Oreochromis niloticus: one gene and its partner. The protein of the gene in region 2 binds, or shares a complex with, the protein of the main gene of each other region. Links are inferred from orthologs where the notes say so. Each region holds a gene or a part of one and is shown on either strand. Other genes may lie near its edges.

Region 1 (7,971 bases), on a different chromosome or scaffold from region 2:
TTTAGTACCAGGGTAATCTTCTGGGTATGATTCCTTCTGCGTCGAAGCAATTTTCTAAAATAGTAATTAGAACCCTGCAATCTGAGTACACAGAGGGGCCTGGAGGAGGTTTAAACGTTACAACATGTTCTTCTTTTTCAAGCAAATGTGTGCATTATGTGGGTAATTCTCACCTTATGCCAGTGAAATGAGCATGAATGTAGAGGTCAGATGAATATATCTGCACCTTGCTCGACATGATCTCGATGACAGCCGTGACTGAGGGAGCATACTGAACAGGGAGGGAAAATAAACTTGTTAATTAGGTGTCAGTTAAATATTGACCTGCTGTTTCCGTATTAACATGTGTTCCCCTGTATCCCTGTCCTGCTTATTGCTCCCTAGTCCCTTTTTATCTAACATCTATATATGCAGGACTCACTGGGTTGTCTGTGAAGTCTGAGAAGAGCTCCACCTCCAGCACTTGTTTCTGCTCGGCTGCTCCAGTCAAAAAGGCCGGGAGGAACAGCAGCGTTCCCAGCGTCCTCAGCAGGTCTGAGCGGTATCGCAGTATGCTCTGACCACAACAGCACAGCACAATATCTTTCACTTACAGTGCACACATTATTATCCAGACTCTGGGATGAATTCATTTTGCTCTTTCTTACAAATGTGCAAATCGGTGCAAAAAGTCTTTAGTGATGAAATTTAAAGAAAGTATTACGGATGCAGGCTCAGATGCTCATGAGTTTATACTACACCCATGAACCAATAGGCTGTTCAGGGTGGTTGTGGATTAACTTACCAGGGTTTTTTGTAAATTAGACACATGCATCTAGAAATTATGGAGATGTGTAAACAATTAAAATAAAACTCTTATAATTTACTTCTGTTAATTTTTTTTTTTTAATGCTTTAGAGTTTGAGTACCGGTGCTGAATCAAACGGTCGATGTCACATATTCATCATGTATTTCTAAGCTGTCATGTCACATCTTTGTCCTGTCATCTCATTAACCTTAGCACTGGGATGACCTGACACAGTGGAAGACCTCCCATAAGCAGCTCTGATCTGGCTCTGAGCAGGTTGTGTGATTAAAAGGGTTAGCATGCATCAGCACTGTACTCACAAAGCGAGAGCTGGAGGCAGACAGCTGTTGTTTTCCCTGAGAAACACACAGCAGTGCAGCAGTGAATCACTGGAGTAGCTGTTAAAGGTACACTATTTGATTGCATGTAGATGCGCTGGTGCTGAGTGAGTATGAGTGCAGCTTACAGAGCGAGCAGAGGAGGCCACTTGCTCTCCATCCTGAGAGAAACAGGTTGTTTTAATCATAAACATCCCCAGCTCCCGATTGGCTGGGGAATCCGGCATCTCCAGCTGCAAAGCCATCCGATAGGGCTGGCCGAATGTCAGCACCTGGATATACATTACAAAAAACACATCAGTATTCTTGGAATGCATATAAATGTATACATATATATAATATGAATGAATGTCTATAGGGGAACAATGATGCTTATTTCCAGCCATATATTTTTATTTTTAGAGTCTACTAGTGAGGCTTTGCATGATTCACTGTTTAAAATTAATTCACTGTCTGAAACAAGCCCTTTTAGTTCCTCCCCACTCCCCTCCCCATTCAGGACCACTTTCTTCCTCTGAAGACTTTGGACATATTTATTATGGGATTAGCATCTATATACACGAAAGAAAATAAAGAAAAGCCTAATAAGTCCCCTGCATGGAGTAAACTGATGAACTTACATGTTTTTTATTTCTGATCAGAGAGATGTTGGCCATAGGGTAAGAGCACAAAAACGAAGCTGGAGATTCACAGTCTGTCCTGGAGATTAAAACATGAATAAATGAGAAAGAACGGACCACAGAAACAGAAGCTGGATGGGACTCAACATACACACCTGTAGTAGTAGTTCACAGGTGCAGAAAAAGTCGCCTTGGGCATGTAAGAGTAGTAGAAAGTCCCGTATAGAAATGCAGCGATCCACAGGAGGAGGAAGACAAATGAGAACACAATTGAGAGCTGTACGAGTCTCTGCCGGGCCCGTGACATCGCAATGAATACAGCGTGCTGGAGCTTCACCAGCGCCCGACCAATAAGGACTGATGGTTCTGCATCATCTTGTGAATGCAAGTTGCTTTGTCGCTCCATTAAATCTAAAAACCAAACAAGCAGTGAAGGTTAATAAAACACATTCATAAAGGTTATTTTATGGAAATAAGGACTCATATGGACTCAGCTAAAGCAAGTTAAGATCCACATTTGTGAGTCTGAAAATGTTTCAGTGTTATCTGAGACGTCATCTGCTTCACATTTTCCTGAAATACAGACACACTGAGCATTTCATTCAGTCCCAGACCCTCAGTGCGGCTGATGATGTTATGATGTTTCGGCACAAGCCTTCACATTCATGTTACCGAGATCTGCAAAACCGCTGAGTCCAATCACAGTCACACGCAGAGTTCTTTCATATCAGATGACTCGAACTGTGTCAACAGTCAACTGCCAGACTGATTGTAATACATGAGTCTAAAGACAAAGAAAAGAACTCAAATTTTTCCATCAGTAGGGGTGTATTGTGATCAATGTGGCTGAAGTAATGGTATTTATGTTTACTCCTCAGTAGACGAGAAATATTTGTAAAATTAAGCTGTTTAGTTTTCACCTTCAGTGCTAAATCAGTACAAAAGTCTTGAGCCGCCACTCATTTGTTTATATTTAAATAAAAGGATATAAAGGGAAATAGATCTTATGATTTACTGAAACATCTGGAAATATACAAAGAAACACATTAAATAATGCAAATAAAACTTTCACAGAGCTTGTAGAAATTTTCTGTGAAGACAATCCTACACTGCTTCAACAGTGTTGATGTCCGGGCTCTGGGGAGGCAGTCCATCACTGATAGTTGTGTGTGTGTTTGTCTATCCAGGTGTGCTTTTACTGCACTGGCAGTGTGTTTGGGATCATTGTTATGCGTTGCCAATTAGTCTCTTTCCAGATAATATTCAGTGGTGAATCAAAGTCTGATGGTATTTTTCTGTGTTCATAATTTCATCCGTTTTGATAAGATCTCCAAAACCACTGACTGAAATGCAGCCCAAACAATGATAGCGCCTCCACTGTGATTTACAGATGGCTGTACACACTTTTCAGTCTAGCTCTTGTGTAATTTGGCATTCCCCAGCATGTTCCCAATGTTCCTTAAGAATGGCTTTTCTCTCAGATCCTCTGTAGTTTTATTTTTTAGGAATGACATTTCTTCTTTTGTCCTCCACCTGTCCAGTTTCCTCAAATTTCTAAGGAGACACTGCACACCATGACGAGATATGGCAAGCTTTTAGCTAACAGCTCTTTGAAAATCCCTTTGTTGTTGCAAAAAAACCCCAAAATGCTATTTTATGTCTATGGAACTGTTATCTTTGACATTTTTATAGATTTAACTAAAGAAATGGTATCAAAATATGTGTTTGGTTTTTTTTACGTAGGTTGTGTCTAAAAATACAATTTAAAGTAAAGTGTTTTATGCTTGAATGATTTATATGCCAGTGTTAAGTGGATCAATAAAAAAGTAATATTCCTCTGAAAATGGTTAGGTATAAAGACTGGACTGAAAAACTTTGAAAAACCTCCAGAAAAGAACATTTGGCTCCTTGGAAGTTAAATATAAAGAAATGAGGGGTAGCTCAAGAATTTTACACAACACTGTAAATCATAAAAGAAGAAGGGAGTTAAAACTTTCTCTTCATGTGAATCCTGATAAAGTATTCAAGAAAAAAAAGGATCCCATGCAACATGCCTGCAACAGTTATCTGTCCTGCTATAAAAACTCACCTCTTGCTTGTGCTGGCTAATTGTGAGCTGTTAGGAAACGTCTTCTTCTTTCCCTGAAGTCTCCTCAGTGGAGGCTTGACACAGATTTTATGCAATATGAGCAAAACTCCCCCAGGAAACTTCTCCTTAGTGGCTCTCGGGCTCACATTGGACAGGATTTAGTCCATCCCACACTAAGACAGATGCTGCTGCCAACTGTAGCAGAGTTCTCAGAACTGAACAAGACTGCAGTAACACTGCGACATACGTCATCAAAATACTCAGAATGTACGAGACATTCCAAAGTGTCCTATGACATGTGAGATTATTTAGTGATGCTGCTTGAAATAATGCCTACAAACTCACATATTTGTCCATATTCAGTGTTCGAATCCATAGTGTAACAAATGCTAACTCATTATCTAATCCGCTCCATGAGGTCTAATATTCTGAACTGTGTATTAGTTTTATGTCCAGCAGAAACTGATAATCATATCAAACTGTTTGCTGAACTGATCATTTATTGTTGATCTATTTTGTTTCGTTGTCGTCCCCAGGGGTTTTTTGTTTCAGTTTTGTGTTATCTTGTGTTCTGCTTCATGTCTTTTTAATAGCATTATTACTGGTAGTGATAATAGTCTCCCCAGTGTTTCTATTTGTATCACCCTCTGTGTATTTTCTGTTTTAATGCCTTGGTCCCCCTTTTGTTCCTTTGCCTCTGATATTCAGTTAAGTGTTAGTATTCATGTTTCTAACAGACTCTGTATCACTCTCATGCTCACACTCCTGTCTTCCTCTTTATCTGTTAGTCCATTTCAAGACTGTTTTGTGTTGTCTTGTCTTTGTCTCTTATTTTAACATATATATATATCTCTATCTATCTATCTATCTATCTATCTATCTATCTATTAAAATAATAATTAAATGAAACATTGAGATCTCTTATCAAAGTATCTCATGTCTAGAGGTGTGAGTGTGATCGCAGTTCAAGGGTGTTATTGTAAACACAAAAGCTACAAGCCGTAGAAAATCGTTGTGATCGAGCTTCACCGGGAGGAGGCGCTATTCTGGGGCTGAGCAGAAAAAACCCGCCAAAATAACTTCTAGCGTAGAAGAAGAAGGTTTTGCCCAATCAGAAGCTGTGTTTGCTGTTTACCGGAAAAGATCCCGTTTAACGTTTCACGTTTGGAAAACTGCAGAAACGTAAGGGTATAGATATATGTCTTTCAAATAAATGTAAGACTTTTATAGCATGTTGTATGGTCTTTAATAGGAATTAATTTTTTTTCTCTGGGATTCTTTGGAAAACATGCATGTGCTCACTTTGAGTATGTCGTATTCTGTGTATGAACAATGGAGATCAACAAATAAGTATTATCACCAAAAGCCAGAAAAAAAAAAATTGTTTTAAAATAAGTATTACTTTTGGCTGCTCTCAGATACTCAGGCAGACTGAAAGCTGGTCACCAAAAGGTTTCATCCTGTGCTGTGACGCATGGATTACATAGCTGAAGGTCTGACAGACAGTTATGGTTGACTGGTAGTCAGACAGGTAGGCTGGCAGAACAACACAAAAAGCTGTAAACAGGTGGAGTAACATTAAAGTCACCATGAGTTCTGAATCAATTGCAGATGATTCATTGTTTGTTTTATTTTTGAGTACACTGGTGTGCTAAACATAAGAGCTCAAAAAAAGCTATTATTGTGAACCTATAGTGACATCTGCAGTTGAAAAATTATTTTAATTGCAGAAAAACATTCAGATTAAAGGCTGAACTTTGTGGCTCAGTTTGTCACACATACAATTTGTTTTCCTTTTTTTTTTTAGTCTGGTAAACAAACTGCCTTTGATAAAAGAGACTGAGGTTAAATTAAAAACTAAAAATGTACTTTCTTTTTTCTCCTGTCTCCTGGCTGCAGGATGTCCTGTAATTCCAGTGTTATTCGTCTTTGTGCATCATCAGTGGGACAGGCACCGCAAGCTCCAGTCCACCTCATGCCATGTGAGATTGAACACAATGGGCCAGCACAGGTCAACCAATACTTCACTGCTACCACCAAAGACCAGAAACAAGGTAAACACAAAATCTTTTCATATCTGATAATATGGATTAATCCACAGCGGTTAGATAAAATGTAGACATATAAGATCGCTAAATGTGTAAATAAAGCAAACAGCTGCCAGTATCCTGGTTTTAAACTATTTTTCGCTGTTTCTGATATGATTAATTCGTTTTGGGGGTAAAAGTGGAATGGATTTTAATAATTCTCAGGAATTTTTAGTTAAAATGAGTTGCTGTTTAACACTTAAGTAAGTAATGAAAGTTTAGTTTTATAGTAAAAAAAGTGAGAACCAATTAAACAATTCAAAAACTTTAAAAGTGGGATGGTATGCGAACACTTATGAGAGTTAAAGCCTTACAGGATCATTTTAGACAGACTGGAGGCGATCAGTAGGTGCTTTAGGAAAGAAAATTACGCATTACACAGCACACATCAAGAATCCTCAATGCTTTGTTTTGTTTTTTCCTTTCACATTGCAGATAAGTCGGTGTCATTCAGGGGACGTGGGTTAAAGGGGCAGAAGATCAGCTGTCCACAGGGCTACACGGGGCTGGTGCTGAAAGAGATCAACAAACCCGGCTCAGACCAGGAGGTAAACACCACTGGAGTTGTGGGTCAAAGCACTATTTCATAAAATCAGATGTGTAGATGAGGGTTTTGTAACTTGTGTTTATGTGTGTTTTCAGGACAGGACAGTGAAAGTATCCTCTGTATTTGACAAAATGACCTACTGGAACCTGGAAACACCTCCTAATTCAGACGATACTATTGTGATGGCAATGGATTGGCCTGATTTGGCTGAGGCAGTGAGTTGTTTTTTTTCCCTCTTGGATCCATTAATCCAAGACCAAACCAATCTTTGTCTCCTAGTAATTAATATTTATCACATTTAACATAAATAATTTGCATTTTTTTTGGTGAAATATGACCCAAACAAGCTTGAGATACCCTTGGCTGTATTTTGGAGCAGGGTCATATACCATTCAGTCACCTTTAATCACATCCTACAAGAAATTAAGCATGTCGTGCTAGTTGTTGCTTGAAGCTGCTATTCTGAGTTAATTACCAGTTATTTCCTGGATCTATATTACATTTCCTTCTGTGGCAATTCAGAACATGTTCACCGGGTTTCATGAAAATCAATCTGGATGTTTTCTTGTAAACTCAAATTACACTGCACTGAAAACCTCAGTTGAGGCTCATTCTCTTTGGTGGAGGAACCGTGTTTAATTCAACTGATGAAAATACAAAAGACACAGACAGAAATGTTTTCAGATATTTGCAGGTTTGTCCTGATATTTTGTCTCTTCACAGATCCATGCTCCAGTAGAAGACTGAAGAGGCTGCCTGATGTCTCCTCAGCATTTTACATATGAAATGTGCTGCTTGTTGGTTATTCATGATAACTGATGGGAAGGCTTAAGAAGTATTTTCAGTAAGTGTTTCTGTTCCAGAGCAATAAGTTACACAACCTTTGTATATATCTTTAATGACGTTTTTTTTTGTAGTGAACAAAGAAAATTAAAAGTCACTGACCAAAGTGTGCAATGTTTTATTCACTGAAAAATGACCATGTTCATGTGGCACGTTCTACTCAACACTGTTTATTCACAAGGGCACATTTAGATTCTGTAAACTGGCTACTATAAAACCCTCTAATATGTATTAACTGCAAGTATGATATGATAACGGTATGGTAATAACGACACACAGCAGCTGTCATACAAATACACTTAAGGTGGTGGAGAATGTAAGAGTGTTTAACATTAACTTAAAGTTTAAACAGAAGGCAGAAAACTGCATGTGTTCAAGTGTCTCGGTACTGTGGTGGTTCTCAGTCATTCAGGCCATGGTAGTTTCAAGTGCTTGAAAACTATTCATCGCAAATGCATAAATGACCCTCAGGTCCACCTCCAAGGATACAGTCCCCACTAAGACTGTCAATCAGCTGTCTCAGAACTGATGAAGCATCTTGGATGAGAGGCAAGAAGAACATAAAGAAGTCCAGCTGCCTCCTTTTCAAGCACTTGAGACTCTATGCTGTTCTGTCAAATTACAGAAGTAAAACTGGTATGAGAATTAATCAGCCTGTTA
Region 2 (6,967 bases):
CAATCTCTCCTTGTTGTATAGCTTAGCTTTTCAAACAGTTTTAAAATAAAGATGCTAACAGAACATTCTTTAAATACTAGGTGCACATCCAAGGTGCAACTACATATATATATAAAACTTTAGTCTGACAAAAGCCTACAGGTTGCGGGACAGGAAGACAAGTCTATCCACTGCTTCAGGCTTTAAAGCGGCCCTGTAGCAAGTCACAATATTACCCCCTGTACTAAATACCCTCTCAGAGGGGCTGCTGGTTGCGGGGATGCACAGGTAGCGCTTTGCCAGGCAGCTAACTCTTGGGAAAAGACGCGCTACTCTGTTTTTTGTCAGACTTCAAATAGCCGAAATACCTCCACACTACAGAACTTCTCTGGCCCTTCCTTTCGACAATCTCTCCGGCATTGGAACCGTCATCTGTGTTGTCTTCGGTAACCTGGTCACCCAAGTTCTCGGTTGATTTTTCTGTAGTCGGCACACTCATTTCCTCCATTACCCAGGCCGGCACGGCGGCTGGCTGCTTCCCAAACAAATACACATGTGCGGCTTGGCACTTGTGCTGTACGTAACAAGTCACGTGATGTGACGCTGCGGCTGTGATTGGTTCGGCTCTGCGCTACTTAATTTGGATTGGCTGTTCTTTTTTTTCTTTTTTTTTTTAAGAGAGGAAGAGAGAGAGAGAGATGAGGTCTATCGCAATAGTTTCATTTTTCTATCGAGAAAAAGTTATTTCGCAATACATATCGTTATCGTTCTATCGCCCAGCTCTAGTGCTACATATGACATATAACAGACAATCAACACAGGACTACATAAAGTGCAATGTGCAAAGATTGCAACAATTGCAAACAAAACAAAGACAGTGCAACACCAGAGAGAACAGAATGACACAGACACAACAAGTGCAACAGAAATGTGCAAAAGACTAAGTATTGTGCAAAAATTAACTTGGTGTATGAAGGGGTGTGTGTGTGTGTGTGTGTGTGTGTGTGTGTCAGTCCAGTCACTGAGTGGAAGGGTTGAAACATTTGACAGCATATAGATGGTTTCTCTACCACAAACATGTCTTTAAATCTTGACTTCTACTATAATCTGACTTACTGATTATATATTCAAGTTAAGTCTTACTATTACTTTCATTTTAGAGCCTCAGCAATTGATTATCAATTAAAAATCAATGAACTGCAACAGAATTAAAAAAAAATAAATAAATCACACATTAGAAAACAAAAAGGCATAATCCATAAGTCAAAACCAACAAGTAACACAACAAGTGTGTAAATATAGACATTACCATGCTAAGTGTTCTGGGTTGGCACAGGTTATGATTTAGTGACATCTTGTTGAATTTTAAAGGAATATTTAAATCAAAAGAAGCAAACAGTGGTCAGATTTTTTTTTTTTTACAAAGCTGCTCAGAGCTGATGTTAACGTTTTCTCCTTTGTTAGTTTAACTGCTCTCAAATCTCTTGCAGCAGCAACGTGTTGATCTCAGAAGTCGGGAAAGAGCATGCAGTGAGGCTGGACGTTATGGTTACACACTATGTTCTGTGATGGTAACACACAGTGAGAACAGAAAGAGTTTAAACTACACCAAACATAACAGGATGTCAATCCAGAGCCACCTACACAAAACTTTAATCTACTGATGTACGTTCTGTGATTAGCATTACATTAGAAACACAGGCTGTAAAGCCCATAATCTGCTGTTATCAATACGTTACAGCCTTCTTCTTCTTAGCATTTGTGCAATATCTTGAAAATTTAAAACATCCTGTCTCAGAGTGATGCTGAAAGATTTGTTTATGCATTTACTGGTTCTAGCCTGAACTCCTGTAATTCATTATCAGGTTGTTCTCAAACCTCCCTGAAAACCCTTCATTTGATCCAAAACAAGAGTATTGACAGGGACTAGAAAGAGAGACTTTTATCTCCCCCACATTCCCTTCTCTTCTTTGGCTCCTTGTTTAATTTAGAATCAAACTTTAAATCTTTTTCCTCTCATACAGGGTCTTAAATAATCAAGCCCCATCTTATCCTAAAGACCTCATAGTACTATATCAACCCAACAGAGTCATCACTTTCAGACTGATGATTTACTTGTGGTTCCTAGGGTATTTAAAAGTAGAATGGGAAGCAGAGCCTTCAGGTTTCTGGTCCCTCTTCTGTGGAACTAGCTTCCAGCTTGGATTTAGGAGACAGACACCCTCTCTACTTGTAAGATTAGGTTCAAAACTTGATAAAGCATACAGTCCAGGATGCCTAGACTAATGGGGGCTTCCCATGATGGATGGATGGATCTCAGCTACATAGTTTCTCAGTGTGCCAGTTTCTCTTATTTCCATTACATTTTATATGATAAAAGTTTAATTTCATCTAAAACTTTACTCACTCGATGATACTGACATGAACACCAAGTTTCATTGCTAGACCAAAGTATATAAAGAAACAATCAGACCTGTTGATGGATTCCTTAGTCTCACAAAAACTGGATCACCGTCGTGCTTGTGTGTGTCGATAGCAGAGTCTGCAGACATCAAAACAGATACCACACATGATAAATCACCACTATTTCTCCTTCTTATTCTTCTCATAATAAATATGCCAAGCTTTAATTTATTATTTTAGCATGTAGTTTAAGACCGGAGCATGGCAGCTGCCATAAAAGCTCACAACACCACCAGCAGTTACATCAGTTATTACACCTATCAACGCATAATAACTGCTTGCAAACTACGCAGTAAGCTAGCTTAGTTAGCTCATACTACGCTCTCTAACCCACCTGGAGCGATGACAACCCAGCTGTCATTATCTACGTTTGACGTTCGCTTCTTTTTAGTAGCCATGTTGTATAGTGTGTTAAGCGCGTAAGTTAACTTTTTTTTTTACTTAAAAACAGTGCTGGCCTACGCAAGAGCGTGCTTACTTTCTGAGTGAAAGCTCAGAAAAGGCGCCTCTCTGCGTTCACTTCCGGTTTGTGTCACACGGGACAAAACATTGCATTGTTTATCCGCAGTGGGCTTATTTTCTGTCCCTTTTTGGGGGAAAGTCTGGTCGTTAAAAAAATTAATGGCTGCCGTGGTGTCAAGAAAAGTTCAAAACAGTGAAACGTAGACTTTTAATTGAACCTTTTACACACCTGCTTTTGTAGTAGTGGTACGTTCCGCGGTGACGTCAACCAGCATGTAAATTCGCGGTAGAGCCGCTAGAGGTCGCCCAACAACTTTTATTAGAATTCCTGTAATAAGATGATATTTGTCTTCCACAGTTTACCTACCAGTTACTTACCTGACGGGCTGTTTCTGAAATTCTCCAGTTTTGAGCCTCTGCTCTCAGGTGCAAGATGTTTGGTGGCCAGTCTGTCCTTTGGCACACTGGCACGTAACAGATTGGGCGATCCATCTGTCCTTCAATAAGAGGAAGGCATCTCTCACGCTCTCTCAGGATATGACAGTGTGTGTCCCAGTTGGTTTTCAGTGAGTCACTTGTTTTGTTTTGATTCTCTGTTTTTTTACACTGTTTGTGAGCATCCTCAGATGGAGATGTGTAGGATGCTAGTGTGTGTTTTCAACCCTCTTATTAGATAACAATAGCTGCGTCATCGATTTGTTTAACTGTTCAGGGGTCCCTGTGATATGTTTATGTAGGGTTTTTTTTTTTTAGCTGTTGATTTCCCTGTCTTCTAAAGACACCCACAGCACAGCCCATTAACAGGTTTTTAATTAGCTTGTTTTGGTAATGAGGAAGGGAGGGATTTGTGTGCTGGGTGACTGAGCTTTTAAAACATCACCGCTCGGCGTCCCTGTGGGAGCAGCATGATGTAGGGGAAAACTTGAGTCTCCACATGGTAACCTATGGGTTTATGTTTTTCCCTGCTTATGCATTTTCGTGCCACCTCTTTGGGCATTCTCTGCTCTTTTGTGTCGTTTTCCTTTTTTGGTCCATTTAAAAATAATGTTGCCTCACGGGCCCATTTGCCCAGATTTGAGCAACACATGCTCTAAAACCCAGTCTCAGCTCCTCCTTGAAATCAGTGAGATTTATGTTGCTGTAGTCTGTGGCAAAGAGAGCGTGGGTGAGATATTGTCTGTGAATTACTTGTTTTATGGGCCCCGGGAGTATCATACACAACAGTCTGTGCAGCTAAACAGAATATTCCATGAAAGCTTTCTTTCATTTTGGGCTGCTTGAGGGAATGTCTGTGTTTCTGACAGCCAGGCAGAACAACAGCGGCCTTTCTGATACTCTGGACCATAGACGACCCCAGAGAGCCGAGTCCTCTGTCACCAGCATGCAGACGAGAACAAAGCGGGGTCTAAATTTAGGCCTCTATATGGCTTTAGACCCAAATTACGAGACCCCACTATCCTCTCCCAAACCCAGCTCCGCAATCCTTATCAATCATGCATCCAACAAAGGGAATTTCAACACACCAAAAGCCGTGTCTGTTCTTTATGTCTCCCCACCTCAAGCGCTACTTCCTCCTCCTCTGTGTAATTCACTTTCAAGCTTGCTATGTCTTCAAAATAATATGATTCCAATAAACTTCGCAGTAGAGGTAGGAGTTTATTGGAGCTAGCAGGCTGTAGATAGTTGGTCACACACTGCTGAGCACATTGAACAGCCTGTGGTCCTAGCTATCGCCGTGGCCTCATTTGGTGGTCCAATGCAGGGCGGCTGGTTACAGCTTACATCGACTCAGCCTCCAGCTTTCATCTCAGCGCCATGTCACCATGTGCTGCACATCACAGAGAGCTTTTTATTCTTTTTTCTTTTTTGGTTTTTTACTCTTTTCATCATCTGTCTGAAGCAGTTATAGAGAGAAAAGAGCCCATTTTAAGAATGTACATATTCACTACAGTGCATTTTTGTCTGTCATGGCTGCCAAGTGAGGTAAGTTATAAATAGCAAGAGAGCGTCACTTAGGGTGTCACTTTTTCTGTACGTAGGCTGTGCCGTTATTTCATGCAGCTGTAACCACTTTGAATCCCCCACCCCCCCATCCTGCCGATCAACACTCAATTTTCAGCTCAGAGATGTAATGTGCACATTGACACACTCTTAACAGACATGCCATGCACACACATGGAAACAGATGTGGGGAGAATTCCCTCTGCAGCACAAGCCTTTGAGTCATCATCTGGGATTCCCTTCCTCTCACTTCCAAATATGGGTGGGATTGTGAGAGAGCGCGAGGAAGAATGTGGAAGGCAGTGGAACCCCCTCGTGATGTCAGAGCTGTGGAACAGTGAGCCTCACGCTGCCTGGAAATTCACCGGAAGGAATGTCGGGAATGTAAGAATCACCGAAATGCTATTCTCTGCTACATCTTAGTAAAACCTGACTTGTAGTAGACATGTCTCGTTTTTACTCCCACACAAACACACACACACTCACATAATGTTGTTGGCCAGTCCGCTCTCTGGAGAGACGTTCTTTCCCGTAAAGTCTTATTCCTCTTCCCCCTACTTGTTTCACAAGATGTGACTCCTTATTCCCAGCATCATTTGCTCTGTGTGAGGCCTCTGGATGAAAGTGGGTTTTTCCTTCTCCCTGTGTGAGAACAAAGTGATGGCTTGAACACTGACTGCTGAGTGCTGTGTGATCTGGAAAGACACTCACATAATAATCACATCCCATGTCATTCATTTGGCATGCAGCTTTTGAACATTTGGTTGTCTCTGAAACTGACAAAAACTGGGGGGGAAAAGGCACCAAATTAGAATGAATCAAAGATTGTTTTCATGATTTAAATAAAGAAATTAGGCACCTGGATAAATTACACTCCTACATCTACTGCACCTTCAAATCTGTGAAATTCAGATTTTCAGAAATTCAGATTAAGTGCAGGAACATCCATTGAGAGTGACAAGTGGACCAGTTCTTATTAAAACGTCTGACATTCTGACAAGAACAAATGAGCAGTGTTTTTTTTTTTTTTAAGTGATAACAGCACAATCAGCCAAGGAGTAGCTTTTTTGATGCAGAAAAGATGTCTTCAAGAAGCCCAACATTTCACCAAGGGATCTGCAACTGAGTAAAGTCAAAGTAAACGAGTCTAAAGTCAGCAAGAGTCTGCATCAATTTGACCTGCATGGAAGGAGTGCCGGAACAGGAACAGACCAGGCCCTTTGGAAAAGCGTGGTCTGGATGGACAAATCAAAGATAGAGCTATCTGGCTAGAGTAACAGTAGACATGTGTGGGACAGCTATTCGTGCATGGTGGTAATGTTATGGTTTGGGGTTGCTTCACTGCCTCAGGGACTGGGCATCTTGCCTCACGTTCCTTCTCTGGTTGCTGCAATATTTTACACCTACGCTGTAATTTCTTAAGTTGATGGAGAGCTAAATTAGGTAGTAAGACTTGATGCGACATGATTTTGCTCAGATGGGTTATAGGCAGACTCCAGCGAGACTAAAGTCTGACTTAGCGAGAAAAGAATTTACCGAAGAAATTAAAACAACTATAATAATAATAATAATAGCAATAGTTTTTGAAATGATATGGCAATGATTTAAAATGGGCTTATACATAACCCCCCCCCACCCTCACACCACCATCCCCAAACATCTTGAAACTGCAGGAATTTAACATGGACTAGTGACCAAATACTAAATCAAGCAGATGTCAGAGAGCGGTGGGCACAACGCCAACAGAAAAAGTCTTTTCTGTGAAAGAGGAGGGGATGCTAACGTGTAAGAGGTTACTTTTTACTTACTTTTTCTACAGAATAATGTTACAGCTGTGGAATTTGTGTAATAAATTGTTATAAAAAGCTTATTTTTCATTGTGGTGTTTATTGTATCAGTGAGGATCAAATATTTGAGAGTGTGTTTGGCTAAATAAACTCACTGTCTTCTTCATTAGGTATACCTGTTCAATTGCTTGTTAAATATCTAACAAGCCAATCACGTTTAAGCATGTAGACATGTCCAGGACGACCTGTTGAAGTTAAAACTGAGCATCAAGATG

What was found. Proteins that work in one complex are often made in the same cells at the same time.
Region 1: the proteins of rnaseh2b (region 2) and rnaseh2c are in contact, whole or in part, in a crystal structure (PDB 3PUF), measured with the Homo sapiens proteins. The link is inferred for Oreochromis niloticus from reciprocal best matches to the Homo sapiens genes RNASEH2B and RNASEH2C. Residues at the interface, in NP_078846.2 of Homo sapiens: Arg14, Gln15, His16, Val17, Phe18, Leu19, Val20, Ser21, Glu22, Leu24, Leu35, Met36, Phe37, Val38, Lys39, Leu52, Glu62, Lys64, Phe66, Glu68, His70, His71, Ser72, Trp73, Phe74, Ile75, Asn76, Gln77, Ser78, Val79; in NP_115569.2 of Homo sapiens: Ile9, His12, Arg13, Val14, His15, Leu16, Ser18, Ala27, Thr28, Leu29, His30, Leu31, Leu32, Pro33, Cys34, Glu35, Val36, Ala37, Val38, Asp39, Gly40, Pro41, Ala42, Pro43, Val44, Gly45, Phe48, Phe63, Val75, Pro77.

The regions. Positions count from the first base shown.
Region 1 is NC_031966.2:20,689,967-20,697,937, forward strand, and holds the start of rnaseh2c (ribonuclease H2 subunit C), read left to right. Parts: upstream 1-4,969; 5' UTR 4,970-5,047; coding exon 5,048-5,049; intron 5,050-5,733; coding exon 5,734-5,888; intron 5,889-6,356; coding exon 6,357-6,469; intron 6,470-6,563; coding exon 6,564-6,683; intron 6,684-7,191; coding exon 7,192-7,215; 3' UTR 7,216-7,971. Other genes in the region: seipin, read right to left, coding at 174-271, 422-556, 1,108-1,143, 1,254-1,397, 1,746-1,824, 1,901-2,151.
Region 2 is NC_031987.2:21,848,380-21,855,346, reverse strand, and holds the start of rnaseh2b (ribonuclease H2 subunit B), read right to left. Parts: upstream 3,022-6,967; 5' UTR 2,841-3,021; coding exon 2,777-2,840; intron 2,522-2,776; coding exon 2,453-2,521; intron 1-2,452. UniProt on the Homo sapiens protein: Non catalytic subunit of RNase H2, an endonuclease that specifically degrades the RNA of RNA:DNA hybrids. Participates in DNA replication, possibly by mediating the removal of lagging-strand Okazaki fragment RNA primers during DNA replication.